7 linked regions of the Cricetulus griseus genome follow. The protein of the gene in region 1 interacts with the protein of each later gene in a pairwise test. Links are inferred from orthologs where the notes say so. Each region holds a gene or a part of one and is shown in the gene's direction. Other genes may lie near its edges.

What was found.
Region 2: the proteins of Meox2 (region 1) and cysteine-rich hydrophobic domain-containing protein 2 interact in binary tests that used the Homo sapiens proteins (3 or more experiments, as listed by UniProt). The two-hybrid records come from large-scale screens. The link is inferred for Cricetulus griseus from reciprocal best matches to the Homo sapiens genes MEOX2 and CHIC2.
Region 3: the proteins of Meox2 (region 1) and Spry1 interact in binary tests that used the Homo sapiens proteins (3 or more experiments, as listed by UniProt). The two-hybrid records come from large-scale screens. The link is inferred for Cricetulus griseus from reciprocal best matches to the Homo sapiens genes MEOX2 and SPRY1.
Region 4: the proteins of Meox2 (region 1) and Pak1ip1 interact in a two-hybrid assay, tested with the Homo sapiens proteins (2 studies listed by BioGRID). The two-hybrid records come from large-scale screens. The link is inferred for Cricetulus griseus from reciprocal best matches to the Homo sapiens genes MEOX2 and PAK1IP1.
Region 5: the proteins of Meox2 (region 1) and Pacsin2 interact in binary tests that used the Homo sapiens proteins (3 or more experiments, as listed by UniProt). The two-hybrid records come from large-scale screens. The link is inferred for Cricetulus griseus from reciprocal best matches to the Homo sapiens genes MEOX2 and PACSIN2.
Region 6: the proteins of Meox2 (region 1) and Fkbp6 interact in binary tests that used the Homo sapiens proteins (3 or more experiments, as listed by UniProt). The two-hybrid records come from large-scale screens. The link is inferred for Cricetulus griseus from reciprocal best matches to the Homo sapiens genes MEOX2 and FKBP6.
Region 7: the proteins of Meox2 (region 1) and SWI/SNF-related matrix-associated actin-dependent regulator of chromatin subfamily E member 1 interact in binary tests that used the Homo sapiens proteins (3 or more experiments, as listed by UniProt). The two-hybrid records come from large-scale screens. The link is inferred for Cricetulus griseus from reciprocal best matches to the Homo sapiens genes MEOX2 and SMARCE1.

The regions. Positions count from the first base shown.
Region 1 is NC_048598.1:164,594,808-164,599,022, reverse strand, and holds the start of Meox2 (homeobox protein MOX-2), read left to right. Parts: upstream 1-1,415; coding exon 1,416-1,929; intron 1,930-4,215. UniProt on the Homo sapiens protein: Mesodermal transcription factor that plays a key role in somitogenesis and somitogenesis and limb muscle differentiation. Required during limb development for normal appendicular muscle formation and for the normal regulation of myogenic genes.
Region 2 is NW_023276807.1:141,527,611-141,531,110, reverse strand, and holds part of cysteine-rich hydrophobic domain-containing protein 2, read left to right. Parts: intron 1-286; coding exon 287-442; intron 443-3,500.
Region 3 is NW_023276806.1:112,081,566-112,085,724, reverse strand, and holds the start of Spry1 (protein sprouty homolog 1), read left to right. Parts: upstream 1-1,359; 5' UTR 1,360-1,600; intron 1,601-2,217; exon of another isoform or gene 2,218-2,327; intron 2,328-4,028; 5' UTR 4,029-4,083; coding exon 4,084-4,159. UniProt on the Homo sapiens protein: Inhibits fibroblast growth factor (FGF)-induced retinal lens fiber differentiation, probably by inhibiting FGF-mediated phosphorylation of ERK1/2. Inhibits TGFB-induced epithelial-to-mesenchymal transition in lens epithelial cells.
Region 4 is NC_048596.1:260,643,183-260,647,205, forward strand, and holds the start of Pak1ip1 (p21-activated protein kinase-interacting protein 1), read left to right. Parts: upstream 1-1,223; 5' UTR 1,224-1,334; coding exon 1,335-1,418; intron 1,419-4,023. UniProt on the Homo sapiens protein: Negatively regulates the PAK1 kinase. PAK1 is a member of the PAK kinase family, which has been shown to play a positive role in the regulation of signaling pathways involving MAPK8 and RELA.
Region 5 is NC_048595.1:380,363,478-380,367,615, reverse strand, and holds the start of Pacsin2 (protein kinase C and casein kinase substrate in neurons protein 2), read left to right. Parts: upstream 1-1,338; 5' UTR 1,339-1,480; intron 1,481-1,599; exon of another isoform or gene 1,600-1,731; intron 1,732-4,138.
Region 6 is NC_048597.1:114,392,199-114,395,698, reverse strand, and holds part of Fkbp6 (inactive peptidyl-prolyl cis-trans isomerase FKBP6), read left to right. Parts: intron 1-1,576; coding exon 1,577-1,771; intron 1,772-2,153; coding exon 2,154-2,263; intron 2,264-3,500. UniProt on the Homo sapiens protein: Has an essential role in spermatogenesis. It is required to repress transposable elements and prevent their mobilization, which is essential for the germline integrity.
Region 7 is NC_048600.1:113,343,731-113,348,004, forward strand, and holds the start of SWI/SNF-related matrix-associated actin-dependent regulator of chromatin subfamily E member 1, read left to right. Parts: upstream 1-1,474; 5' UTR 1,475-1,613; intron 1,614-3,410; 5' UTR 3,411-3,455; coding exon 3,456-3,462; intron 3,463-3,638; coding exon 3,639-3,682; intron 3,683-4,274. UniProt on the Homo sapiens protein: Involved in transcriptional activation and repression of select genes by chromatin remodeling (alteration of DNA-nucleosome topology).

The DNA.
Region 1 (4,215 bases):
ATCCCCAGCTCTCCAAAATCCACCAGTGGCAAGTTGTGTAGTTCTTTTCCAGGAGGAGACTGTAAACTGGGGGAACTGAACAGTCCTAGCAGAGAGAACTGGAGAGTGTTCAGTGTGGTGTCTGCTTACAACAGACAAGCGGTGAGAAACAGAAAGGGTGAAAAGAGCACCTCAGACAGAAAAAGACAATGTTTGTCCGGAAGGATTAGAGGGGGCTGTCGATTGGCTCCTAAAGAGTTAAACTGGGAGCACATTTCATTTGACATTGCTTCAGATTATCACTGACCTAGGAAAACTTTCGGTGAGCTAATGGTTAGGAAATTGAGCGAGCTGGACTAGTAAAGAGAGGTGGGAGGAGGGTCTGAAAAAGGAGGAAAGAGACACAAGTTGGAGCAGCACTTGTGTGATGCCAGGGCATCAGAAATTGAGTCCATCTCTGCTTCAAGCTTTCCATCCCTCACTCAACCAGGTACCTTTCTTTTCCGCACTTAGAACAGCTTTATGCTATCATTGGGGCACAGCCCTGAAACTTCCAACCTGGCATCAGTTTTATTTTATTTTATTTTATTTTATTTTATCTTTAACAACCTATCCTCAGACAACTGAAAGGGGAAAACCATGTTGCGCTCCCGGGCGCGGGAACTGCGAGTATCGGAGTTTGAAAAGCTAGACTGCTCTAGCCTTTTCCCTTCTCTTGAATTCTCATAAGTTCTCCTGGTCCGCAAGGTCAGGGAGCAGTTCCGGAGCTCCTGCAGGTGACTCCCACCCCTACCCCCACCAAGAGCTGAAAGAGACTCGGGACGGGACACTTGGTGCTGGCTTAGCGAGACTGAGAGTGGGTGCGCGCCTGGCCATTGGGAGCCTATGGGACAGATCGAGGTGGCCCTGCTTATTAAGGCTCTGGACTCTCCACTGGCTGTCGTGGAAGCTCCCAGGGCCGGGCGGGCGTGGAGCAGCCGCTCCTGTCCTGCCAGCAGTTGGGAACTGGAAATGAGAGAGCATGGTGGCGCTGAGTGAGCGGGAGTTTTGGAGAGAGTTTGCATGTGGTCAGCTCTGGGCTCCTAAGCCAGCCCCCAGCTCACATTACACTCTATTTATAACCTCTCTGAGCCATTTCCCCCCCGTGAAAGCAGTTCTCTGGGACCACCTTCTTTTGGCTTCCACCTCTCCCACATTTGACATCTGAGCAGCTGCGAGGGAAGCTCCTCCAGGTCCCAGTGTTTATATGTGCAGGAGACTGGCCGCTAAGGCTCTGGACTGGGATTAGCCAGCTCTGCTCAAAGGCGCGACTCTTAGGGAGTGTGTGAGTGTGGGGGGAAAAAAGAGTTCTAGGATTTCCAGTGAAAAGTCACAGAGCTTGGTGGCCTTTGGGACCATCGTGAAGTCTTCTGCCTGGAAGTCCAGACTTGCATGCCATGGAACACCCCCTCTTTGGCTGCCTGCGCAGCCCGCACGCCACAGCACAAGGCTTGCACCCTTTCTCGCAGTCTTCTCTGGCCCTCCATGGAAGATCTGACCACATGTCCTACCCCGAACTCTCCACATCTTCCTCGTCTTGCATAATCGCGGGATACCCCAACGAGGAGAGCATGTTTGCCAGCCAGCATCACAGGGGGCACCACCACCACCACCATCACCACCATCACCACCACCAGCAGCAGCAGCACCAGGCTCTGCAGAGCAACTGGCACCTCCCGCAGATGTCCTCCCCGCCTAGCGCGGCTCGGCACAGCCTGTGCCTGCAGCCCGACTCGGGAGGGCCTCCGGAGCTGGGGAACAGCCCTCCGGTCCTGTGTTCCAACTCATCCAGTCTGGGTTCCAGCACCCCGACCGGGGCCGCGTGCGCACCAGGGGACTATGGCCGCCAAGCGCTGTCACCCGCGGATGTAGAAAAGAGAAGTGGCAGCAAGAGGAAAAGCGACAGCTCAGGTGAGTGCGGGCAGAGCACCTCTAAGGAGAGTGTTCCCTGGGCTGGGAAGGGGCAGGGATTTGCGAGAAGGTTCTCACAGACAAACTAAGGAATACCTAGCTCTTCCAGTCTCAGTGGCCTGGCCGAATTCGTCCTTGCAGCTTCGGCCCTGTAATTTGGGAGCACGTGTTTCGCTGAGGTTAATATATCTACGTCCAGCCCCTTCAAAGCCCTACAAGACCATAAACTAGTTTTCCAGCGGCGGTGAAAAAAGAGCGAGTGACAGTATGCGAAATCGGTTAAGGAGCATGGCGCTCCATCCACGAGTTGGGAGGGGTGTGAGCCTTGGGATGTTGCATCGGCTGGGCGTTCATGCCTGTGTGCATGCATGCGCTTCTTGGTTTTTCCCTTACAATTTCCCAATTCTGAACAGCTCGAGTTTTCCCATCCTTAACTGGATTTCTAGACTATTGCTCAATATCTTGAACTTTAACTGGGATTTGACAAAATACTCGAAAGAAAAGTTTTATTTTTTTCTTTTTTTAACGTTTCGCTTTCAGAGTTCCGTAAATAGCATTCTACTTAAAATAGTAATAATTTTAAAAAGCATTTAACTTATTTGCCGAAAAAGGCACTATCTAGAAATCTAGAAGTATTCAAGAAATACATCTAAAAATCGTGAATAAATAAATGGATGAGGATTTGAAGAAAGGTCATTCTTGATTAGACTCAGGTGAGGCTATCCTATGGGAAAAAAACAAACAAAAACAAAACAAACAAAAAAATCCCTGAACTTCGAAAGTGGAAAGTAAAAGCCTTCCTTGTTTGAGTAGAGTTTTGAGATGCTCCGGAGAGCACAAGAGCAGCTCGGACAGTGGTGGGAGAAGATGCAGCAGAGTGAACAGCGAAAGTGTGGATTACTTGAGCAGCTAAAGCAAAGGTTTCTCCCCAGTGGTTTCCAGGGCCTGAAAGTTCAGTAGCAAGTGCATTGTGGCAGTTCAGAGAAACTGAGTTTCTAGACAGCACATAACGCCCTTAGCTATAGTTCTCATTATTAAGATGTTTCTCTTTTTCTTCTCCTTCTTCATCCCCTCCTCCTCCTCCTTTTTAATTGCATCTTGCTCTGAAGGAACATGGCAACCTGGGTACATACTTTGGAAGATGTCACTTAACTAAAAAAAAAAAAAGTTTGCATCTATTTAATCTTTTGTGTTAGTCTATGGAGATTTAGGAAATGTGAATCTGGGCATTGGAAATAATGGAAAAGAATGTAGCATGTTAGGCAATTTAGTCCAGGTGTTCTGCAGTGTATGGCAGTAACTGCTGTGTATTTTAAATCATGTTGAAAAATGACAGAAACTTTTCTTGGCCTCCTTGTGGGGTGACCCTTACCAACCTGATGGTTGAACTTTTATTTTCCTAGGTCGGGGATGACTTTTTAATGCTCCACAATGATTAGCTGTGTCTAAGCAATTTACCAGCACTGTCATTGATTTGCAGTGGTTATCTTTAACTACATAGGAAATTCTAAGCTATTGAAAAGATACCAGTGAAAACGTTAGAATGCACTGGGGTTCCCCAGGCTGGGCATTTATGAACTGGAGTGCTTGGATGGCCTCAGCAGGTTGGTAGCTACCACAGCAAGAGCCAGAAGCACTTTTTCTTTCTGCAAGGGGAAACCATGGCCAGCTTCTTAGCTGAATCAATGCCCTAAAGATTATTTATGCACTCGAAGGAGTTTTTGTTGGGCCACAGTTATTTTTAGTTGCAGAAATGGAGAGTAGGACTAAAAAATTTACATCCTTAAGTTATTTTCATAAAAACCGACTTAAAATTGACTAACAGTCGTTTCCATCACATTTACCGATGGAAAATAACCACACAGCAAAGGGAAGCTTGTTTTCATGTTGTGAATCTCATTTTAGAACATAGAAACAAGCAAACAGAATAGAAATTTGTGTCAACCGGGGGTGTAGTAACGCTTGACAAGAACGGGAAGTATGATCATTAGCAAGGATACTATCATGGGGACCAACGTAGAAAGAATGTTTCCATTGATAGGCCATCACAGGCAAGCATCAGTTGTCTTGGTACACTTTGAAAATAAAATCTATATGTTCAATCTCTGAGTTAACATCGATTAGATCATAGGTAAGTTTAACTCCAAGCCATCTATCGCCTTTTTCAGTGAACATTCAACTGAAGATCAAGTCATCTGATACTCTTGTGTAAACATTTTGACTTACTAGAGGATAAAGTAACATAGAAAATAGTTATAATACTGTTCTTTTATCAACGCATAAGCC
Region 2 (3,500 bases), on another chromosome or scaffold:
GTGAGTACCTCTTTCTGTTTTGTTTTGTTTTGTTTTTGAGACAGGGTTTCCTGGCTGTCCTGAAACTCTCTGTAGCCCAGGCTGGCCTCGAGCTCAGAGATCGCCTACTTTTGCCTCCCAAGCGCTGGAATTAAATGTGCACACTACCACTGCCCGGCGAGTGTCTCTCTTACTGATCTACCGTCTATATGTCTCAAATTAGTTTTCCTTAGAAATTAGAAAAATGTGCACTAAGACCCATTTATCAGCATTTATCATCTCAGTTGCATTTTTTCCCTTCTTTTAGGTAGCTCCTGAGGAATTTAAAGCCAGCATCAACAGAGTTAACAGCTGTCTTAGGAAGAATCTTCCTGTAAATGTGCGGTGGTTGCTTTGTGGCTGCCTGTGTTGCTGCTGCACATTAGGCTGCAGTATGTGGCCAGTTATTTGCCTCAGTAAAAGAGTAAGTTGAAGTGCATCTTTTAATTTACTTTAGAAGTGTGAAACAAGTCTTAATTTTACCTTTTTTTCTGTTGAATGAACCACACGTTCTGAATATTATACAAAGATATATCTGATCTGGTAAAGCAAGATTAATTAAGTAAATTATCATCGAACCAAATGTTATAAGATAGCTATGTAGAAACTATTCATAATTTTTGTGCCTTAGGAAATTAAGCTCAAAGAAAAATGCAGCATTATGTCTGTGTGTATATTAATATGGACTAGAGTGGTCCAGTGTTCAAGGATGCTGGGCTCATCTCTACCACTTACCTCCGTGTCTGTGACATATTTCTTATCCTCTTTAAATCTGGCTGATACGACTGTAAAATGATAATATTCACCTATGATTTGAGTAGAATTATTGTGAGGATATAATGAAATCTTATTTATAAAGCTCCTAGCCATACAGTGTATGGGAAATTCTGTCAGCTTCAATGCTATTTCAAATATACAAGAGAACACTTTAAAAGGAGGAAATATATACTTTGACTCATGGCTATGCTAGCTCTATCACTTCTCTGCCTGTCCAAGCAAAAATGTCATGGTGACAGAGCAGAGCTGCTCGCCTTACAGTTACCAGGCATCAGAGAGGGAAGAAGGGGATTGGAACAAGATGAATGTAGCCCCTGAGAACAGAGCCCTACCCATTTCACTAGGTCCATCTCTAGACATTTGAAACACCTTCCAAAAGGCCATCATATTAAGAAACCATGAGTGGTTTAATCCATTGATTAGGTTGAATTCCTTATGATCCAAATCACCTTTCAGTGTACAGGATCTCCCAAGCAAGTGTAGCATTGATTCAGCTATACCCAAAGCTCTCCATTTACTTTTTAAATTTTTATTTTATGTATGTGAGTGTTTTGGCTGTATGTATTATATATGCCACATGTATCCCTGGTGCCTATAGAGATTAGAAAAGGGCATCAGATTCCATGGAACTAGAGTTACAGCTACTTGAGTGTCCATGTGAGTGCTGGGAATTGAACCCTGGTTCTCTGTAGGGCAGTCAGTGTTTCCAGCCACTGAGTCCTCTCTAGTTCCTACAAATAAGCTTTTGGAAGGATACTTCAAATCCAACTCATAGTAGCGGTTGTCAGTAAGGATTGACTAGCATTATTAGTATGCGAGTCCCATGGAGAAAATAAATGGTTACAGTAAGATAATGGGGAACTCATTTTAATTTTTTACTTTATAGGTTTTCTATGATGAATATACAACTGACTCTGTGATTAGGAAAAATAATCCAAGGACTTGATTTTCACTGCTTAGAATGAAAAGATTCTAAGATGTTGGTTATAGATATGCCAAAATAATGCCAATTAAAAGTTGTTTTCTTAAAGACATTGTCTAACTCTGTAGACTTGACTGGCCTGGAACTCACTATGTAGATCAGGCTAGCCTTGAACTAAGAGATCTGCCTGCCTCTGCTTCCCAAATGCTCTAGGCCTATGTGGTCATGCCCAACATGGCACCTTTGTTTTTGTTATCTTCAATATATATATTTACATTCATATTATATGTACATTTACATACATATTACATTCATATGTATTTACACATATGAAATTGAAGTAGTATTCATCCATGTGTGGTAACTCACATATGAAATCCCAGCACTCAGCCAGGTGGTGGTGGCTCACACCTTTAATCCTAGCACTGGGGAGGCAGCCTGGTCTACAGAGCAAGTTCCAGGACAGGCTCGTTCCAGGACAGGCTCCAAAGCTAAAGAGAAACCCTGTCTTAAAACAAAAAAACAAACAAACAAAAATCCTTGCACTCAAGAGGCTGAGACAGGAAGATTGTGAATACATAGTAGTTAAAGGCCAGCCTGGAAAACCAAAAGTGGGCCTGGGGGTAGGAGAACTAGTTCATCAAGGTGACTTTAATGTTTTTCTATGAAAACATTTAATTTTGTTGGCAAATAATGGCAAGGAAATGAAAGAAACCACATTTAATTTATTACTTGATTTCCATTATAAAGTTAGAAAAATTTGAGCTAATATATTTTATTGATAGAATGGACATGATGCCTTTACATTAGAATTACTTATACATTATTTATTATAACATTAGAAATATTTACATTTCTTTAAAAGTTTTTTATTATTTACGTGCTGAGCCGGGGAAGTGCAGGTACTACAACGAGTATATAGGGGTCAGAGGAGAACACTGGAGTCAGGTTTCTCCCACCTTTAAGTGGGTCATTGAGCTTGTGTGGCTGGGGCTTTTTTTGCTGGCCCTACTTTCTTTAAGATGGGATTTTACCCCCATAATTCTTGCCAGATTGTCTCTAGGTCACAAAGAATCTATCTCTGGTGGCCTTGGATTCACAGTTGCATTTGCTGTCGTCTTAGTTTGGGCCCTCTCACTGCCTTCCACTATTGAGAAATTGCCATTGTTTGGGTGGCTGCCTAGCTCATTAGGTTGTTTTTGCTGTTATGTGACCCACAGGATTGATGGCCTTTACCTTTTGGATCTAGCCTTTTTGTTTTTGAGATTTGTTTTTTCTTTTTCTTTCCCTCCTTCCTTTCCTCCCTTCCTTCCTTTTGCTTTTTAAATGAGTAATACGAGATATTTTAATATGTCGATGGTATATTTAGAAGACAAAGGTAAACACCTTATACTTTGCTACACATTTTGATAAACTTAAGATCCATTTTAATCTGACTCCATGAGATCCTTTTAATTTTGAAACATAAATGGTGCCTTTTTTGCTTTTCTTTAAGACAAATTATCTGTTGCTTCAGGAAGTGTGACCTGTTCGGTCTGTAGTGTTTGGTTCAAGATCCCCATCTGTATATGTGACTAGGTGGAACATTTATTTGATGCATGTAATTTTTTTTGTTTGGGGTTTGAATTTGGAGAGGATCTCATGTTGCCTAGGCTGGCTTCAAACTCATTGGATAAAGGGTGACTGTGAACCCCTGGTCATCCTGCCTCTGCCTTCTATGTGTTAGGGCTACAGGTACATGGCCTGCTTGATGTATTTAACTTTTATATGGTGTCTAGTGAGC
Region 3 (4,159 bases), on another chromosome or scaffold:
GAGTAATTAAAGCTGTTCATTGCTCCCTGTCCTCGTTTTATCACTGACCTCCCTGCTAAATTTATGCAGACAACTGAGAAGTGCCAAAAAAGATACTCTGGTATGATACTGCATTAGCGATTGGACCCTTCCAATCCAGTCCTAAGAAACAGATCCACAGCTGTCAGGCCTTATTACATTGCTACCTCTGTGGGAAAATAGACAAGATACAAAAGCCCCACCAGCTTTACATTTGAAACTATGACTTTAACACATTTCCTAGCATGAAGGTGAACAGACAGCTAGCTTCCTGGCTTCTAGAATGTTCTATTATCCTCTAGTGGCCTTTCTTATGGAGGATGTTCTTTGCAGGAGTGTCCTGGATGTCTCCCATGCAATTCCACACACAACTGTGAGTTCTAAAAGCATTTAGATACTTGAAAATGAAGTATGCAAAAACCAACATCAACAAAAAGCTTTTAAAAAAAAAACCTGCTGTTATTGTTAACACTTTAAAAAACTACTTTGAGCCCAAAACATCCAAACTCACATTGATGGATGATTTAGACCCTGGAGATCTGTTGTTTATCAAAACTATTCCTGATACAGTTCCCTGGGAAAATATTTCCTATTAACAATTTTTGGGGTCTTAGGTTATTTTAAAAACCCTCTATGGAATTTTTAGTTCCACATATAGTTCTTTTCACTTTGTCCTGAGCTACATCATCCCAATAATAAATGTCCAAAATCCCAGAGTTTGTAAGGAAACAAAAAGCATTCCCCACTTACTAGAGTCCCCCTACCCTGTGACAGACATGTAACTAAAACTAAAGCTTCTTCATGAGTTATTCTTATTTTACTTGCTTTTTGTTGATTAAAAAAAAGTTTGTGTTTTTTTGACAAAATTATACAAACATTACAAAATAGCAAGGACTTACTTGGGTTTGTTTTTTTTTTTTTTTTCCGAGTAATTTTTGGGATCATACCATAAACCGAAACGGAACAATCACTAAAATCCCACAGCAGGAGGGATTTCCTGCTGTGGATCATTATATTACATTTGCAAAAGTGACTGTCCTTTCGGGAACTTTCATACTGTATCAGCACACATTTTCCCTGGGGCACGGTGGAGAGGTGTACAAGTGTTTTTGTTGTTGTTGTTGTTTTGTTTTTGCCTACTGTTCTTCACAACTCTTTTCTAACTCATAAGGGTGAACGCATCGGTTTCCTTAAATCGGAGGCTGACAGCTCACTGACTATCAGGGGCCCTGGAACATGTGTTGCTGCCCAGTTGAGCTCAGAGGCAGTTTTTTCGGAGCGTCCTCGAGTCCACATCCACGATCGCTAAAATCCTGCTCCGGGTTTTGGCTCAGCCCGCGTGATTGACACATGATATCACCGGGGGCGGGTCCCAGCGTGGAGGTGGAGGTGGCGGCGACGCTGAAATGCTGCGGAGCCCGCGCGCGAGTGCTCAGCACGCAGGAGTTTGCGGCGGCCCCGCAGCCAGAGCTCTGCGGGCTAAGAAGCAGCTGCGCGCGACGTGCATGTGCCGGGAAGGCCGGCCCCGGGCTCTGCACTAGGCAAGAGCCTTGCCCTCCCGCCCAGGACCTGGCGAGATCAGGTGAGAATGGTGCTTTTTTTTTTTTTTTTTTTTTTTTCAAGGACCGGACGTTTTCGGATCTGGCTCTAGCTTGGTGCCCCGCGCTGGGCGCCCGGCCCTGCAGCTGGAGAGCTGGCTCCTTTCGCTTTCCCGTAGCCGGGCAGCGAGTTCCGCGTGTGCGGACGCGGGCTGGCATCGCCGCGCACCCGCGTGTCTGTGCGCATTGTTGGCGACCGAGCCGCCGGGCGCTCGTGCCAGACCTGACTTTGCAGTCCCCGAGTGCGGGCTTGCCGCGAGCAGACGCGCCGTTCGGACGCGCTTTTCACTGCAGGGCATTCCGTGGGGGCAAAACGTGCACGGCCGCGTGTGTCCCGGGCTCGTGGCTGCCCATCACCGCGAGGAGGACAGCGTCCCGGGCTGGCGAGGGACTCACGTGTTTCTGTCTCTGCTCGTCTGCAGCCGGCGTGGCGACTGCGGGGACGCGGACCTGCGGGGACCCGAGCGCCCGGGACGACGCCGGGCCGCGCGCCTGACGACCGGGACGGGACGGTGCTGTGGAGCGGGCGCCGCGCGCACCCGGCGGATGTCCCGGAGCCGCCCTCGGCCGCCGCCAACCGCGGAGAAGCGCCCCTGCCCCGGGGCCGCCGAGGCCGCAGCGCGGGCTATGAGCGCCCGGCCGCCCCGCCGCGCTTGATGCGGCGCGCATCCCGCCCGTTCGGCGCCCCGGGCCGGCGCCGCGGAGGCCGAGGTGAGTGCGGGCGGCAGGTGCGGGCCGGGGCGGGCCGGGCGATCCTGGCGGTCGTCGCGCAGCCCGTGCCAAGCGCGCGGCACCCGATGGCGCTGGGGAGCCAGCGGCCGCCTATGCTCGGAGCGCAGTGCCTCGCGACGCGGGGAGAGGGCGCTGCCTCCTCCCGCCCGCGAGCTGTTTTCATTCATAACTTTCCCCAGCCCGAGCCGCTGCGGCTCGGTGTCCCTGAGGCCTATGTGCGGGCTCACAGAATTGTCCGCGCGCACCCGGCTGCTCTCCGGGCGGGTGCGGGCGCCGAGGTGCTCCGCCAGAGCGAACTTGCTTGGGAATGCCCTGTAAAATGCGAATTAAAGCTATGCCTGGGGGTTTCATTACTCAAGCCATTCCCACGTCTTCCTTTCTTGTGGATGAAACTTGGCACATTTAAAGTCTTCGTTTTGGAGTTTTAAGTTTTTTAAAATAGATAGGGCACGGGAGTAACGACTGGCTGTTTCCCATTGTCATTTAGGGGTTCGGTACTAAGACGTGCTGTTACAGATGTGTTTCTCGTGTTTGGGGAAGGTAGAATAAACTAGAGGGGCCCCCAAGAAGCTAAACATGTAGTCTAGGAGCATCCGTAGCAAACTGCTTTTCCTTGAGACGTTTTGTTTTCTTTTGGCACCTAATTCAAGTGCCGTCTTGAATTAGGGTGCATCTGTGGGTTTGGAGAGCATTTGTGTGAAAAATATCCTAGATACCTACTGCCCGGAAACGGGAAAGTCAACTTTTGCTCTGTTTTAGGACGAATGCATTATAAATTGTAAATTATTTCTTGACGTGAAAACGTGTTTGTTGTGACGAGATATTAGTGTGTTTACCTTATTACAAAAAGCAGCTCGATTCAGGGCTTGTTGAAAATCAAGGTCTGTGGTGTAGATGAATGAAAGGAAATAAAGATAATGCAGAGACTAGGGCTCCTCTCCCTGCTCTGTAGGTTTGACACTTGTGCATAGAAGTTATTCATGTTGGTGAGTGAGCCTTGTTTAACCTTTAAAGAACCTTCTATCCAGAGTTTGTGTGCATGCTCTAGCGCCAGCAAGACAGCTAGAGCCGCTGCCTTCTCCATTCCTTGTAGATTCTTTTTCTCATCTCACAGATGAGCTTTAGATCCGGACTTGTGCCCAAAACGGCCTATTGAGATTCACGTGAGCTTGGAATATCCAGTGTTTTGGAAATTGCCTTGATTAATTTTCTCATTAATCTAAAGCTCTTAACAGCGAACAAATGGCCAAGAGGCCACAGCACTAAAGCCATTCTTAATCTTTAAAAAGTAGCTGACATTTTCCTTACGTGAACTGCCAGTGAACTGATAGTGAACTCTCTGAGAACAGTTCCAGGGCGCGCACTGAATGCTCCCTTCGAAGGCATATTTCATTTTAATTATTTGTTAGGTTTGCAAACAGGAAGACATGACTTCCTCTGCTTTTTAGAAGCTGGAGAGCAACTTCTAATTTTTGTGGCATGAGGTCTTGCTTGCTTTCTTCCTGTGATGTGGCCCTCCACAATCCTTGTTTTTGGAGTTGGACTCCTGCCAGGATTCTGCATCATTGAAATCAGCCGATGGAGGCGATCATTGCCAGGTGGTTTGGGCAATTTGTTACTTACAGGCGCCCCCCTCCCCAAAATGCTTTCTCATTTATTTTCTCTCTCACTCTTCTTTAGGATTTCCGATGCATGCCAGGTTTCTGCTGACTGCCGGAACCGGAGATCACTCCACATGGATCCCCCAAGTCAGCATGGCAGCCACACTTCCCTAGTGGTGATTCAGCCACCGCCTCTGGAAGGCCGTCAGA
Region 4 (4,023 bases), on another chromosome or scaffold:
ATTAGCACTAACTGAAGACACAGAAATTAGTTAACACAGGGGTTTCGACTGGACTGTGTGCGGGTTTGTCAGTAGAGTAGTCCAAACTGGAAGAACACAGAACTTCTCCTCACAATTCAAAGATCATTTCCCCATACTCAAAACTTTACCGGTTAACTATGTAGATAATTTGTAGCCTTGGAGAACAAGTGTCTCAAAGAAATAAAGTCTAAGCACTTAGGGACTTTATTCGTTCACAGGCTTGTGTGAAGACGACCAGGCATAAGCACCAACTAACCCACCCGCAATGGCGTATGCTCTAAACCTCTGAGGTTCTCGGGAAAACTCATTTTTAAAACATCCCTGGCCGGGCGTTGGTGGCACATGCCATTAATCTCTGCACTCGGGAGGCAGAGACAGGTGGATCTCTGTGAGTTCGAGGTCAGCCTGGTCTCCAGAGCTACACAGAGAAACCCTGTCTCGAAAAACCAAAAAGTTCCTGACCCTGTCTAAAACTTAAGGAATCCTCAATGTTAAAAAAATTTTAAAAAGGCTGTCATTGCTTTCGTTACCCTCTGCTCTAAGCCTCCTAACCCTGGTGGAGGTGTACCCTGGAGCAAACCTAAGTCTTCCACTTTGAACGTTCCCGTCCTCCTCCCTCCAGGCAATCTTTCATCTCGTGCCCAGCATGGCCCGCAGCTCACTAGCGTTTAGATCCCAGAACCCTGCTGGCAAGAAGGGCTGAGCACGGCACGGTCTGGCCTGCGGGCCGGGCCCTCGGTCCAGCGAGGGGACACCGCCAGCTCCGGCGGCGCCCGGGAGCCCGGACCGTCACCGTGCCGACCCCGACACAGAAAGGTCCCCCAAATGCTCTCTGCACAACAGCGGAACCCTTGGCTTTGGAATCCGAGCCACGGGAGCTGCGGGAGGAACGCAGGTTCAAGGAGGGAACCCGCCCGGGAGACACAGCGGGAACCCGTGCGTGCAAACGCCGAGGAAACCGGAAGCCGGAAGCCGGCCCGCCCCTTCCATAGACCCATCGGAAATTGGGGCATTCGCGGAGTATTTCCCGCCCACTTCCCAAGGCCCGCCCTGCTCACGGCTTTTCAGGATCTGCCTGTTTGCCACCACGTTTTCCTCTCTGCTGTGAGCGCCCCTGCCTGCGGCTTCGTTCCTCCAGCTCCACGTAGAAGGGCCACGTGACCTTCGAGCGTGCCCTCACTCGCTACAGACGCAGGCGCCTAAAAGGTGCCCCTGGGTGATGACGCGTAATGTGCGCGCCGAAGCTAAAAGAGCCGGCCTCCTCTCCTCGGGCTTCTACGCCGGCTCGCCCTGCGCCGCACGTGCGTTGCTGAATGGAGCTGGTCGCTGGCAGCTACGAGCAGGTCCTGTTTGGGTTCGCAGTGCACCGCAAGCCCGCGAAGAGTGGCGACCGGGAGGTGAGAGACCGCGGGCCCGGGGCTGCGGGGCACCGGCGGGGAGGGGAGCCCGGTTCCCTCCCGGGCGGACACTGCGGCGCCTGGTGGTGTTTGCTGGGTCTCCGTAGATAATTGTTGGAGGGCTTGCGTAGAAAACAGACAAGCTTATGCCGTAATCCCAACTCCAGGGAGACCGAGGCAGGAGGATTGTGAGCTCAAAGCTTGCGTAGAAAGACACTGCTCTTTACAGAGTAGAGGCTTTTCAGAATGAGATAGTATCTACTTGTTATAGTAGTTAGAAAATGCCTACAGACTGAAACGAAAACGTGGATCGCAGTGTGGAAAGGAGGTGAACGGTTGTCAGGCTTTGGGGCCAGGGGACCAGGATAGGGAGGTGATGGCTAATGCTTGCAGAAATGCAGCTGGATAGGAGGAATGACTTTTTTTTTTTTTTTTTTTTGCTTAGTAAGATAACTATTCTTGTAACCTAGTAAGGTAACAGTCAATTGCATGTTTTAAAGTAGTTACTAGAGAATATTTTGAATGTTGTCAAAGACATGACACTTATTTGAGGGATAGATAGGTTGTTTCTTTTTTCAGATCTAACTACAATGTATTGAAATATCACATTGTGCTTCATAAATACATGCAGTCATTGTATGTTAACTGAAAGGAAAAAAAACTTAAAGCATTCTCAGGGCATGAAAAAGCTGGCATTTTTAACACATACAAAAATGAGGTGAGCATTTAAGCTGAAAGTTAATTTAGATGTTCAAGTTCTAATGTAAAAATGACTTTACCTTTCACTGAGTTTCTATCCTGATTAACAAAATATTACAGCTGGGTTGGGATCAAGACAGTCATAGAAATTCACTATTTCTTGTGACTTTACCGTGGGTAGGGAGACAGGGTGACAAGGTGCCAGAGGTGTGGCTCCTGTTCTGGGAACCGTCCTGATTGAAGGGCTGGTGAACAAGGGAGAGGAAGACATAGAGTGTAGCACAGTGTGAAAATTATTTTTATTAGGTATGAAAATAAGCAGATCTAGGTAATTGCCAACATGGTAGTCAAACAGTAAACAGGGCCACATACAGGACTAGAACTGTGATCCATTACTCCAAATGATAACAAGCCATATACAGGACTAGAGATGTGATCCAATACTCCTCATGATAACAGGGCATATACAGGACTAGAACAGTGATCCAATACAGGACTAGAGATGTGATCTAATGTTACAGATGTTTACTTCTGGAACAGTTCCACTTATCGCCTACAAGTCTGTTTTGTTGGGTACTACCTTAGTGTGTTTTTTGTTTGTTTGTTTGTTTTTGTTTTTGTTTTGTTTTGTAATATGCTTGTTCCAGATGCACAGCAACCCTGAGATAGATACAGCCATTCTCATTTTACAGACAAGCAATTGGAAGATTTCTCACAGGCCAAGAGACTGCTCAAGGCCACACAGTTTACAAATATAACATGTCAGGGCCCACGGGTGTTTCCTAGGCTTACATTTGTAACTTTACTAGGTGCTGCTTCTAAATCTAGCCAGTAACCATGGTAACAAATACTTATGTATTTGGACATAAAGTTGTAGAATGGTTGAATCAGATGGCCCATGTCTACTCAAAAGGCTGAGACAGGAGAATTAAGAGTTAAAAGTTTAAGCCATCTATGATGGACATGCCTTTAATCCCAGTACTCTGTGGGTAGAGGCTGGCAAATCTCTGGTCTGCATAGTGAGTTCCAGGACAGCCATAAATTATACAGTGAGACCCTGTTTCAAATAAAAAAAAAAAAAAAAAAAGGAGGAGGAGGTATAAAATTGCCTGGGTTTCATAGTGACTTCAAGACCAGCCTGGGCTATATAAGTAGAATTTTAAAAGAAGAAGGGGGGGGGGGTTAAAGTCACAAGCTCCAGGTACATTGTGTCTTGAGTCAAAGGAGGCCTATTGCCCCTGATTGATGGGAGGACTGTCTACTGCTGTAGTCTTTAGGACTTGATGTGTGGGGAGATTCACCTTAGGCATCATGCAGAGAACTTTGCTGGGGTTTCTTGTTTTGTTTTCTTCTTTCTTCCTTGACTAATAATACCTTTCCACATAGCTCCTTCAATTTGAAGAGTACTGTATGTGTGTGCGTGTGTTCTGTACTTTGTACTCATCCAATCATGTTTCTCAAACCAAAAACATATAGTAGTGAGCATCTGGTCCCTGAGACTCATTATTAGCAGTTCTCGAGGGCTCATGTTAGTGTTAATGAGAATATACCCACATGGTCTTATTTTTCTTTATAGGACTTATCATATCTTATAACATTAATTAGTTTTGTATTTCTTTTCTTGGAGTGAAAGTTGCATTTGAATAAATACCTCTGTTTGTTGTTATTTCTGCTACCCATAGTGGTATCAAGCATATTTAATAGAGATGAGAGAGAGTAGGCAATGTTACTGGAATTAATTCACATAGAAAGTTGAACATTTGAATGAATCACTGATATGGAAGCCTGTATGTAAGTCTCCATTACTGGGATCTGGAGATACGCCACCAATCCTAAATTCCCCTTGTTACACTCCTTATTCAGGTCTCCAGTCTTTTATTATTACCTAGTTTTTCTCCATTTGGTT
Region 5 (4,138 bases), on another chromosome or scaffold:
ACCTTGAACTCCTGACCCCTCCTGTTCTACCTACCAAGTGCTATGCTACCACACTGGCCTTTTCTGTTAATTTGCAGGGAAGTTGAGACAGGTTCTCATTATGTATCCCAGACTGACCTTGAATGTCTCTGTCTCCCCAAGTGCTGGGATTATAGGCATATATCTCCATATGTAGCTTCATTTGTTCATTTGTGCCAGTATCTTTCGGTGTATCCCTGGCTTGCCTGGGCCATTTCCTCTTTTTCTTCCAATTAGAGTCTAATTCTGTTGCCCAAGCTAGCCAGGAACTCTCAGACATTCTTTTGTAGCAGCCTCTTGAGTGGATTACAAGCCACTATCCACCGCCATTTACTCTTTACTCCACATAGTACCCAGAAAGTTACCTGCAATCAATTTCTCAGACCCTTTCTCGGGTATCTCTGACAGTGTGAGGCAGTGCTCAGGAAGTTATTAGCTTTTTTGACTCATTATCATTTCCCTCTGTTCCTGGGGCTAACGCCTTATCAGGCAGGACTACTGTGAGAATCAAAATGTCTGTGCATTGCTTGGTGCCCTGAAGGCTTGTCCTCTGGAGGGAAGTTTCTCCACTCCACTTCCTCTTCTTTTTTGTTTATTAAGACACTGCTCTCACTATGTAGCCTTGGCTACCCTGGAACACACTATGTAGACCACGGTGGCCACGAATGCAAAGACACCCGCTTGCCTATGCCTCCTCTGTGTTGGGATTAAATGCGTGCCCTACCACTCCTGACTTGGAGGAAACTTTTTAAATAAAAAGAAGTGTGTGTGTGTGTGTGTGTGTGTGTGTGTGTGTGTGTGTGTGTGTGTGTATGTTTGCCCTCACCACGTGCGTGCCTGGTGCCCACAAAGGGCAGAAGAGGGCGTCAGATTCCCTGGATTGAAGTCACTGACCGTGCACATGGGTGCTTGGACTGGAACCCGGGCCTTCTGGAAAAGCAGCAGTCTCTGCAGATCCGATGAAACTTTCTTAAAGTTCACCTTCTCTAAATTCTCGGTCAGGCACCACAATGCTCCTGGTTGCTAGGAAAACCACGGAACTCTGGCCTGTCTAAGATAAAGTCCTACAGACCCCAGCCTCAGGGCGGCTCCTGGGGAGTGACCCATGCTGGCCTTTCAGCTGCATAAGTAGGCGCTCCTCGTTTGACTGACAGGGGAGGCCGCTAATACTCACCCAGAGTAGTCCCCTTGAGCGTGCTTGGGGGCGTGCTGCCTCTGCTCCGGTCTGCCCAATCCGGGGAGCGGAAGGGGTTGGAGGGCGGGGCCTTGATCCCGGCAGCCAATGGGAAGAACACAGCGGGCGCGGCGGGGGCGGCGCGGTCTTGGCTGGCGGCAGAAGCTGCCGCGGCGGGTCTGGGCAGGGCCGGGCAGTGAGCTCGGCTGGAGCGGAACGGGAAGGGGTCGGAGTCGCAGCCTGGCCGGGCGGCGTTCATAGCGGGACCCGAGGCCAGCGGCGGTCGAGGTGAGGGGTGCGCCGCGACGGTTGAGACGCGGGTCGGTGGCCGCGCCTACCCCTGTCAGGCCGCGCCGGGGCCGAGCTCGCGGGGGCGCGCCGCTCGAAACTTCTAGTCCGCGCGCAAGGGGCCACGCACCGGCGGTAGGAGCGGGGGAGGCCCCAGGGGCGGCCGGAGCGGGCCGGACCCATGCGGGCGTACTCCTGGGGTGCTTTGCGGACTCCCATTTCCGTCCTTCCCACGCTTGGTGTCTTCGGTGGTGAGTGCCAAGCCTGCCTGGTGAACATGACCTAGGGGTGTGTGGAGAGACAGGAAAGGCTGGATGCTGTCCTTTTGACTTTCATAGTTTTCTAGACACGTTGGATCCGAAGTGTCAACTGCCTCTCTCCTCCAGTGGGGCTCAAAAGCCGCGTTCTTCTCTCCCTAAAGACTCCAGGCTTGCGGAGGCCCCCCTCTCAGACGGTCGGCTTTTCTTTCTTCAGGACTGGATCAGAGGGGCTGGCAGGGGACCTCATGGCCTTAGAGATTAGACCTGGAAGTAGGCACGCCCCAGCGATGCTGCGTTCTTGTTGGGTCCTCAAGGGAAGATGACTTTGGTCCGGGGTTTGCACACCATTCCTGGCTCTTGCCGTCTTTCCTTGACCGCAGCTGCCCTGGGGTTTTGTGATTAAGGGGAGTAGGTTGCTGACGGTCTCCAGGGCTACTCATTACGATGTTTAACAAACACTCCTGCTCTGTTCTGATGTAAATCTATTTAATCCTGAATGGTAGATGTGAGCTCACATCTTCCTCTCCCACTGCAGGTTTTTCAGTTTGCTTAAGTTCTGTTCTTGTGCCCCTAGGCTTGACAGCTTGGAGCCCTTCGCAAAGGGATCATCCAGGTGGGCAGTGTTCTGTGTTAGACCCCCTTTTCCGTCGTAGGGTATTTGAGCACTGAATGAGTGCCAGTCTAGTTGGGATTCTTTTTGATTTACTTGGAACACTTTTGGTTTGTACATTTACATTTAACTGTAGAGTTTGGCAGTCTCCTGGTGAAGCTATCCTGAGCCATGAGGCCATTACATGAAAAACTTGTGTGATGTGTGTTTTTTCCCCTGTGGTCTGGAGACTTTAAAGAAACTGACCATTAGGCTGATGGGTACTTATTACGTGGGAAAGTAACTGAGCACAAAGGAGTAGAAAGAAGACTGATTAGATGTCTTCTGTCTGTGCAGGATTTTTTTTTCCCCCTTCAAGACCGGGTTTCTCAGTAGCCCTGGCTGTCCTGGAACTCCCATCTATTGACCAGGTGGCCTCAAACTGGCAGAGACCTGCCTGCCTCTGCCTCTGGAGTGCTGAGGCTAAAGGCTTGTGTCACCAGCGCCCCGCAACTGTGCAGGATTTTTAAAGAATAACTATTCGTTGGAATAGAAATGGTATTTTAGTTCATGTTGTTTTGAAAGCTAGAACTTGTTACTTCTGAACACAGTAATTAATCCAAAAGTGTGTGCATGCAAGATATAACATCTGTTAGAGGCTTTTGCTTGGTCCAGAGTGCCAGCACGGATTTCTGATGGCCCCGCATTTCGGGATGTTATGGAATATCAAATAATAGCAGTAAATTACTAACTGGCACCTTGTGAAGTATACCCAAGTGCTCTCTGGCCAAGCTCACCTGAAACCCAGGTGACTGACTCTGGCCTGCCTTATCTACATCCCATTGTATTTGGCTTCCTGGAGGCCACCCTTTAGATTATGTAGGTAATTATCATGTTCACAAGAGCTGTAGTGCCTGCCCAGTTTTTTTCCAGTTGTTTGGAACCACAGCTGCATACCTGAAGGCAGCAGAGGGAGGCAGGGCTTCAGTTGATTTGCCTGCTAGGGGCAGAGTCCTTTATGGCCTCTGCATATATCCTACTCACTCCTGAAAGTAGGCCTGAGAGCAAGGTCTAAGTGGGCCTTAACTTGTTCCTCCTGATGGCTCTGGCATGGGGATGGCTGTTTGAGAGTTTTTTTTTTCTTTCCGATTTTTAATATTCAGATGGTTGTGCTGACTAAAGACCATCTTAAAAGAATAGGTTACCAAGGCCTTGCCGGGGGTGGTTCAGTCAGTAAAGCACATAATGTGCAAACATAAAGGACACCTGAGTTCAAATCCCCAGCAAAAAAATAAGACCAGGGCAGGGAGATGGCTCAGTGGCTAAGAGCATTCACTCTTACAGAGGACCTGGGTTTAATTCTCAGCATCCACATGGTACCATAACCATCTGTAACTCCAATCTCAGGCGCTCCTACACCCTCTTCTGACCTCTGACGGCATCAGGAATGTACATGTTGCACATACATACATGTAAGCAAGCATTCATACTCATAAAATTAAGAAATCCTGCTGGGCAGTGGTGGCACATGCCTTTAATCCCGGCACTGGGAGGCAGAGGCAGGCAGATATAGTGAGTTTGAGGCCAGCCTGGTCTACAAAGCAAATGCCAGGACAGCCAGGACTGTTACAAAGAGAAACACTGTCTCGAAAAGCAAAAAAAAAAAAAAAAAAAGCAAAAAAAAAAAAAGAAATCTTAAAAAAAAGTGGTGCCTGACATCAATCTCTGACCTGCACTTACACACACACACACACACACACACACACACACACACACACACACACACACACACGGCACTTGCCTTTGGGA
Region 6 (3,500 bases), on another chromosome or scaffold:
CATCTGCCCATTCCAGAGTCAGCAGTCTTTGTTTATTTAATTTCTCTAGAAAACACACCTCCTGGGCTAGGGATTCAACTTGGTGGAATTGACATGCATGAAACCCTGGGTTTCATCCCCAGAACTGCATAAACCAGATAAAATCCCAGGATGGAGACAGGAGGACCAGAGGTTGAAGCTGGGGCTGGAGACATAGCTCAGCGGTTAAGAGTACAGAGGATCTGAGTTCTGTTCCCAGCACTCATATCAGACAGCTCACAACTGCCTGCAACTCCAGCTCCAAGGGATCTATTATCTCTGTTCTTCACGGGCACTGCATTCATGTGCATATACCCACAGACAAGCACACAGATACGCATGCATACACATAATTAAAAACAAGAAATTGAAGGTTATCCTTTGCTACATAGTGAGTTTGAGGGCCATCCTGGGCTACATGAGACCTTATCTCTGGCATGGTGGTATATATCTTAGTCCCAGTATTTGGGAAGCAGAAGCAGGCAGATTTTTGTGAGTTCAACGCCAGCCTGTTCTGCATATTGAGTGAGTTACAGGATAACCAGGGCTATATAGAGAAACCCTGTCTCAAAAAAAGCAGCGATGAGGTGCTGAAGGGATGGTTCAGTAATTTAGAGCACTTCTGCTCTTACAGAGGACCCAAGTTCAAGTCACAGCACCCATATAGTGGCTCACAGCCATCTATAACTCATAAATTCAGTTCCAGGAAATATGATTCCTTCTTCTGATCACTGGGTACTAGGCACACATGTGGACACATACATACAGGCAAAACATCCATACATAAAATTTTTACATCAAAAGAAGCCAGGTATGATGGCTTACACCTTTAAGCCCAGAAGGCAGAGGCAGGCAGATCTCTGAGTTTGAGGCCAGCCTGGTCTACAGAGTGAGTTCCAGGACAGTCAGGGCTAAACAGACCTTTTCTCAAAAACGCACGCACGCACTCACATGTGTGTGTATATATGTGCACATATATACATTTAGTGTCTATGTTTCTGGGGGGGCGGTATGTGCATATGAGAGCCCTGTTGCTAACAGAGGCCAGAAGCATGGGATTCCCCCTATAGCTGGACTTACAGACAGATGTGGGCCACCTGATGTGGGTGCCAGCTTGTCTTTGGCTCCTGTTGAGTACACTGTCCATATTCCTTTTGAGACAAAAGAGTAGAAGATACATATTGTCTGTCTCACTCAGGTTTGCATGCCTTCTCCTGTTAGAAACTTCAAACTGGACCAGAGAGGTGGTTCAGTCGTCAGAAGCATGTATTGCATCCACATTAGGAGGTGCAGGATTACATGTAACTCCAGTTCCAGGAAGATCCAACACCCTCTTTTGGCATCCACAGTCACTGTACTCACATGCACAATCCTATCCCATCCCATATACACATAATTTTAATTTAAAATAATAAAAATAACTCTGAAAAAGAAGCCTCCTGACTTTACTATATTAACCTTGTGTCCTGAGAGCTAGATGGATTTCTTTCTTAGGTCAGTTTTTCTGTGTGACTTGTAAGGATCCCTCCTGACCCTTTGCCTTTCCTCCTCTCCTCAGGCCTTGCTGCTGCTTCACCGACGCTTGGCAATCTGTAAGGAGCAGCACCTGGTGGAGCCTGCTGAGCTTCTAGTCCTCCTTAACCTGTCTTTTGTGTACCTGAAGCTAGACCGACCAGCCATGGCCCTGCGTTATGGGGAGCAGGCTCTGCTCATTGACCAAAGGAATGCCAAGGCCCTCTTCAGGTGTGGACAGGTGAGTTGAAGATAAATGAGAAGGAAGTGGGGAGAGGGGCTGAGGCAATAACTCAGTCAATAAAGCACTTACCAGGCATGCCAGTCTGGTAGCCTGAGCTCATTCTCCAGAGCCCAGGGTGCTAGAGCCCCACACTGAGGAGGCAGAAACAGGTAGACCCTGGAGTTCACTGGCCAGTCAACCTAGATGAATTGGGAGCATTGGAGCCTAGAGGAAGATCTTGTCTTAAAAATCAAGTGGGCTGCTCCCTAGAAGGAAGCGAGGTTGACCTCTGGTCTCCATCCACATGTGCACTTATGCACTCCCACACAGAGCGATAGGTCTCACTTGGCCACTAGCACAAATTCTAATCTCAATCTAATGCCCTGTCCCTTCCTCACAGGCTTGTCTCCTTCTAACTGAGTATGAGCAGGCCCGGGATTTTCTAGTGAGAGCTCAGAAGGAGCAGCCCTGCAACCATGACATCAATAATGAACTGAAGAAGCTGTCCAGGTGAGAGCACAGACCACAGTGAGTGGTAGCTGTAAGAATTCTAGTTGCCCCCTGCTGGCTCAGAAGCAGCCATCCCTTCTTCATGGTCCTTCATTCATTGTCCTGACCTGGCTATTCCTGAGTGGGGAAGCTTCACTTCTAAGCATTTCCCTCTTTCCTGTTGTACCACCTGCAGATCAGCACTCCCTAGAGAAGTGGCTCCATGCAACTCCTGCGTGTGTGTGTGTGTGTGTGTGTGTGTGTGTGTGTGTGTGTGTGTGTGTGTGTGTGTGTGTGTGTGTGTAGGTATAGGACAGAAAACAACCTTGAGTGTTGTGCTTGGGGATTCAACAGTTAGATTGGGCTGGTGACTAGTCTCAGAGAGCCTCCTGTCTTCATCTACCCCCCACCCCATGCTGGAATTACAGACACTCCATACACTGGGTCTGGCTTTTTAACATGGTGCTGAGGATCTAAATTTGGGTCCTCACCTTACCAACTGAGCTATTTCTGTAGTCCCCCATGTGACCTTTAAAAAGGGTGTTGTAAAGCCAAGTATGATGGTCTACATCTATCCTAGAACTTGGGATATGCAGACCTTCTAGGGTATAAAATAAGACACTGTCTCAAAAACGAGGAAGCTTAGCAGCTGAGAATCCTTGGCATTCAAGTTATCCTCTGACCTCCATACATGGTGTGCACATGTACATACTAATAATATAATAATATAATAAATAAATGTGCAAAAAGCCTTTTTAGATCTCATCAGCACTCAGGAAGCAAAGGCAGGTGGATCTCTGAATTTAAGGCTACCCTGTCTACAGAGTGAGTTCCAGGACAGCTAGCGCTACACACTCCTTGCCTTGAAAACCCAAAATCAATTAATTTTTTAAAAGCTGTACTTAAGACTCTTACCTATTTCAAAATCACGTGAGACCCATTTTTCCTCATGGGCCTTTCTAGGACCACAAATGAGCTGGTGCTGTGTGACTCATTCATAAGTAAGAAGGACATTAATCTTTTGGAAATGTTAAGTTTTGGGAGGTCAGCAAAATGGTTCAGTAGGTAAAAGCTCTTGCTGCCAAGCCTGATGACCTGAGTTCCTTCTTAGGACCCATATGATGGAAGGAGAAAACTGGTTGATGCAAATTGTTCTCTGACCTCACAAAGACACTTGAACTCGCCCCCAATACATACAAGAAAAATGTAATTATAAAAATGAAAAATGAAAGCTTTATAAAAAAGTGTGACTTTTTCT
Region 7 (4,274 bases), on another chromosome or scaffold:
GGGATTAAAGGTGTGTACCACCACGCCTGCCTGGCCTCTATGGTTAACTAGTGGCTAGCTCCACCCTCTGATCTTCAGGCAAGCTTTATTTGGTGGAGCACAAACAAAATATCACCACACACGGTTCCTCCCCCACACATCCCCTTTTCTATCACTCCACCCCCACAATCGCCAAAGCAGGGAAGTAGCAAGGCTGGAGTTGCTGAGCAGAGCTAAAGATCCTGGACCCCTGCTGTGACCACTCATCTGAAAACTCTCCTTTAGTCTTTCAATGTGCTCTCTCATCTCGTTCATTTCTGCTCATGAGTATGAAAATGCTGAGCCACGGAAGAACGGGACAGTATTATCACTTACCCCTGACACTACAGACTTCTTCTAAAGATACCTCATTTCCTGTTGTCACAACCAGGATAAGGGAAAACAGGTAGTCCCAGTATTCAGCCAGTTTCTCTAAGTGATAACTTTGTCCTTAGATAACCACAGGTCATCTGTTCATTTTTCCTCCACCCAGACTCACCTCAGCTAAGTGTTTCTATACTTCCTATAGTCCGCCTAAGTGCTTGGAATTAGAAAAAAAAAAAAAAAAAAAAAAGGCCCTTGGAATGGTCCAGAAAGGTGCCTCTACACACACTTACTGAGCACCTAATTACCAGCCTGGCCCTTAGAAACCAAAGGGTAATTATAAAACGGTCCCGTCCAGATGTCTGAACCTTAGTTCCCAAGACTTTCCAAAATTAACAGATGGCCGAGTCCCATACAGAGGATCTCAAGACACAGGACTACAAAGAAAGGACTGGCCTGGGAAAGTTCCAGGAGGGCATCATAAAGAAACAGTTGAGCTTGGCTGTCTGAAGCCAGGCTAAGCTGAATTGGTTCTCCTGGAAAGAAATGTAAATTGTCATAGGTATGCGACCTGGTGAGAGTGAGCTGCCAGCTGCGGGCCCTAAGCTCAGAAACCCGTCGCCATCACTCAGCCTCTAGAAGCATCTGGAAAACTACAAAACTCCCGTGTTGCTTTTCGCTGAGGCTGAAGAGGCAGGGAGCCCTGCTGGGCGCCGGCGAGGACCTAATCGCGGCGACCCGAGTGCTCCCCGCCTCCACCCTCCTCCATCCTGCAGCGGCGTAGTGAGGACCACGGCGAAGGGAGACGCCGGGGTGCGGGAGCTGCGTCCCGCCCTCTCCCGCGAGAGGCTCCGGCGCGCCTTCGCCCGGCGCGGGTCTCACACGGCGGCACCACCGCCTCGGAGACGGAATCCCCGCCGCGCTCGCGGCGCAGTGGCTGCCGCCCGGCCGCGAACCAGCAGCTGAAGCAACGCGGCCGGGCCTACTCCGCCCTCCTCGCCGTGACGAATCGGCGCCCGGCTGGGACGGGACCCAAACTGGAAGAGTTCTGAGGAGAGTGTGGAGCCTGGAAAAAAAAATCCTCGGCTGCACTAAGCCTCGCCGAGTCCTCCCTGGAAGACCCGATCGCCTGAGGAGAGCCGGCCGCGGCCCGCGGAGAAATCCCGGAGCGTGTGGAAAGTGCGAGCGCGGAAGCTCCGGCGCGAGGGGCGGGGCGAGCGCGGGACAAAGGGAAGCGAAGCCGGAGCTGCGGGCGCCTTTTCGGCCCGCGGGTGAGTGTTTCCAAGTGGGCCCAGCCCGGTCGGGGAGGGTGGCGAGCGCCGGTGTGTCGGCTTGGCGGGACCCCGAGTTCCCGCGGGGTGCTGGGGATCGGGCTCAGCTCCGAGGCGGGAACTAGGGCCCGTGCGGCCTCTGTGAGGCCTAGCGGCGGCGGGGTCGCAAAGAAGCCCCGTCCGGGACAGCTGCTCCGAGGCGCCGCTTGTCCCTTTCCGCCGGACCCCCGACGCCGGCCGAGCCCCGATGCACACCCTCCTGCGGGGGGGTTGCCAGAAAAGCTCATCCTGGGCCACAAACTCCTTGGACCTCCGGAAGCCCTCCGGGCAAGGCCAGCGGGGTTCCTCACCCACCTGGAAGGAAGGTGGTTCCCCTTTTTGGTTCAGGCAGCGACCTGATGATTCCCGGGGTGGCCCGGAGTGAGGAGTGAACTCCGGGACGGTGTGGGTTGGGTTTAAATCCACCTCTGGCTTTAGACATTTTATCTTCATCGCCCTGAGACTGTTTCTTCATTTGTAAAATGGGGACAGCCGTATGTATCTGGTAGGGTGGTTGTGAGTAGTGAGCGAGACTGTGTCATAAGCCTACCTTGTAAGGTAATTAATTATTCAGCAAATACTGAGTTCCGTGCTAGGCACAAGGGTTAGATCCACTCTTAAGAGTTTATATTATCTTAGCCCAGGAGAGCAATCATTTGAACATATTCGCAGTGAAGTGTAAGGTAGCACGGACATTGTTACAGTTTCTGTCGGGGCTCCCCACTGCAAGGCCTACTAGGTGTTGATGGAAGGAAAAGAGAGGCCTGGGTTGAAAACCTAAGCTGCTTCCACATCAGAACTCTTACCCTGATGATTTGAGGCATTTTCTTAAATTGAAAAGTAGAAGAAGAAAAAAAAAAGTATTTTGTTTTACATAGTGTTGGATGAAAGTGCTCCAGAAGTCATAGTTTTTTCATCACCATTTGTGGTGTATGTAGAGTAAGGATCGAGCTCACATCTGTCCATGTTGTGAGCTGGTAACACTAGGACCAAATTTATGAAGAATTGGGCTAGGTTTGAGCAATACAGTAATAAATTAGACAATCCCTCCTCTCTTTCAAGACAAAACCTAGCCATATCCCTATCTGATACAGAGAAGATGCAATTATTCTGCCCAGATAATTTATCAGGAAAATACCTGGGATAATTTTTTAAATGGGCTGTAAAGGACCAATACGAGTCATCCAAGTAGACTAAAAATTTGCCCCAGTACTTACAAAACTATTTACCAATAAAAGACAATGTAAAGTTTGTTTTTATACCAGATTATCTTTCACACTACTTCCAGGAATAGGACATTGCTCTGCGTCAATAAACAGTGTCCCCTAAAAGAAGCAGAGCTGCTGATCAGGAATTTGTCAGTATCTGGTAGGCCTTGTTGGGGTCACCCTGATAATACATCACATTCTATTGTCATTATTTTTTTTTACCAGTCTAAGTAAACGTTTGCATGGCATCAGCAAAATGTTTTCCATATAAGACGTGGCTCAATATCATAAGCAAAAACCTAAAAATCCATCTCTAATATAACTCTAAATTTCCCAGTAACTTATTTTCATCATTTAATTCTGATCAATCAAATGACTACAAGAACTAGTTAAAAAATATGCAAAAGGCTTGATTACTAGTGATTAACAGTGAAGTAATTTTGCTCAGAAATACCAATCAAACTACCCTATTCTTTAGGAAAACATTCTCTTATGCTTGCTGAGTTTTGATTCTCTTTTTTTTTCTTTTTTTTCTTTTTTTTTATTTTAGTGTCTCAGATTCATTCTTAAGGAACTGAGAACTTAATCTTCCAAAATGTCAAGTAAGTTTCAATTTTTATATTTATCAATCTGTGTTAATACAAGACTAATGCCCTAGCGAATGGGAATTCCAAAATACTCTCATTTTTTTTTCTTCAAAACAGGACCATTGGTAGTTTTGTTGCATAGTATTATATCTCAGTTGTTTACAAGAAGTTATTTATTTTCTTTCAAACAGAAAGACCATCTTATGCCCCACCTCCCACCCCAGCTCCTGCAACAGTAAGTTTTAATTTTCTTGTTAATGTAATAGCCAAGTCTGGCCTTGATACAAAAACCCAGATGTCTTCCAGTGACAGTCACTCAGTCATCACAGCCACAAGATAGCAAATTCAGCTAAAAATCAGCACTTCCTACTAAATAAAATAATTCTTTTCGTCCTACTTTGAACCAAACCTAACATCTAAAAATACATATTATGAGCTTCCAACCTCCTGTGCTCTGTTTTTCCCTAATGGGAAATGAGTGAAACACTTCTTTCTAGTTTTTCCTGTTAAAAGAGTCTTTAAGTTGATTGAGTAAATGCTCATTCTGGCATTATTTATTCTTTTGTTGTTGTTGTTTTTAAACCTAACCTTCAACTGGTTACATTTTTCTCTCTAAGGGCTAGGGACATAGCTGAGTGTCAGAGCACTTGCCTAGCATGTGCAAGGCCCAGGTTGGAACCCCAACAACACAAATTTTTTAATTAAACTTTCTTGTCTATCTATAAAATTTTCACATTAATTAAAGTTTCTATTTCTGCAGATAACTACACTCATCATAAATCTTATTTTCAAGCTGTTCAAGTTAGGATTTCATTACCCGTGGGTCA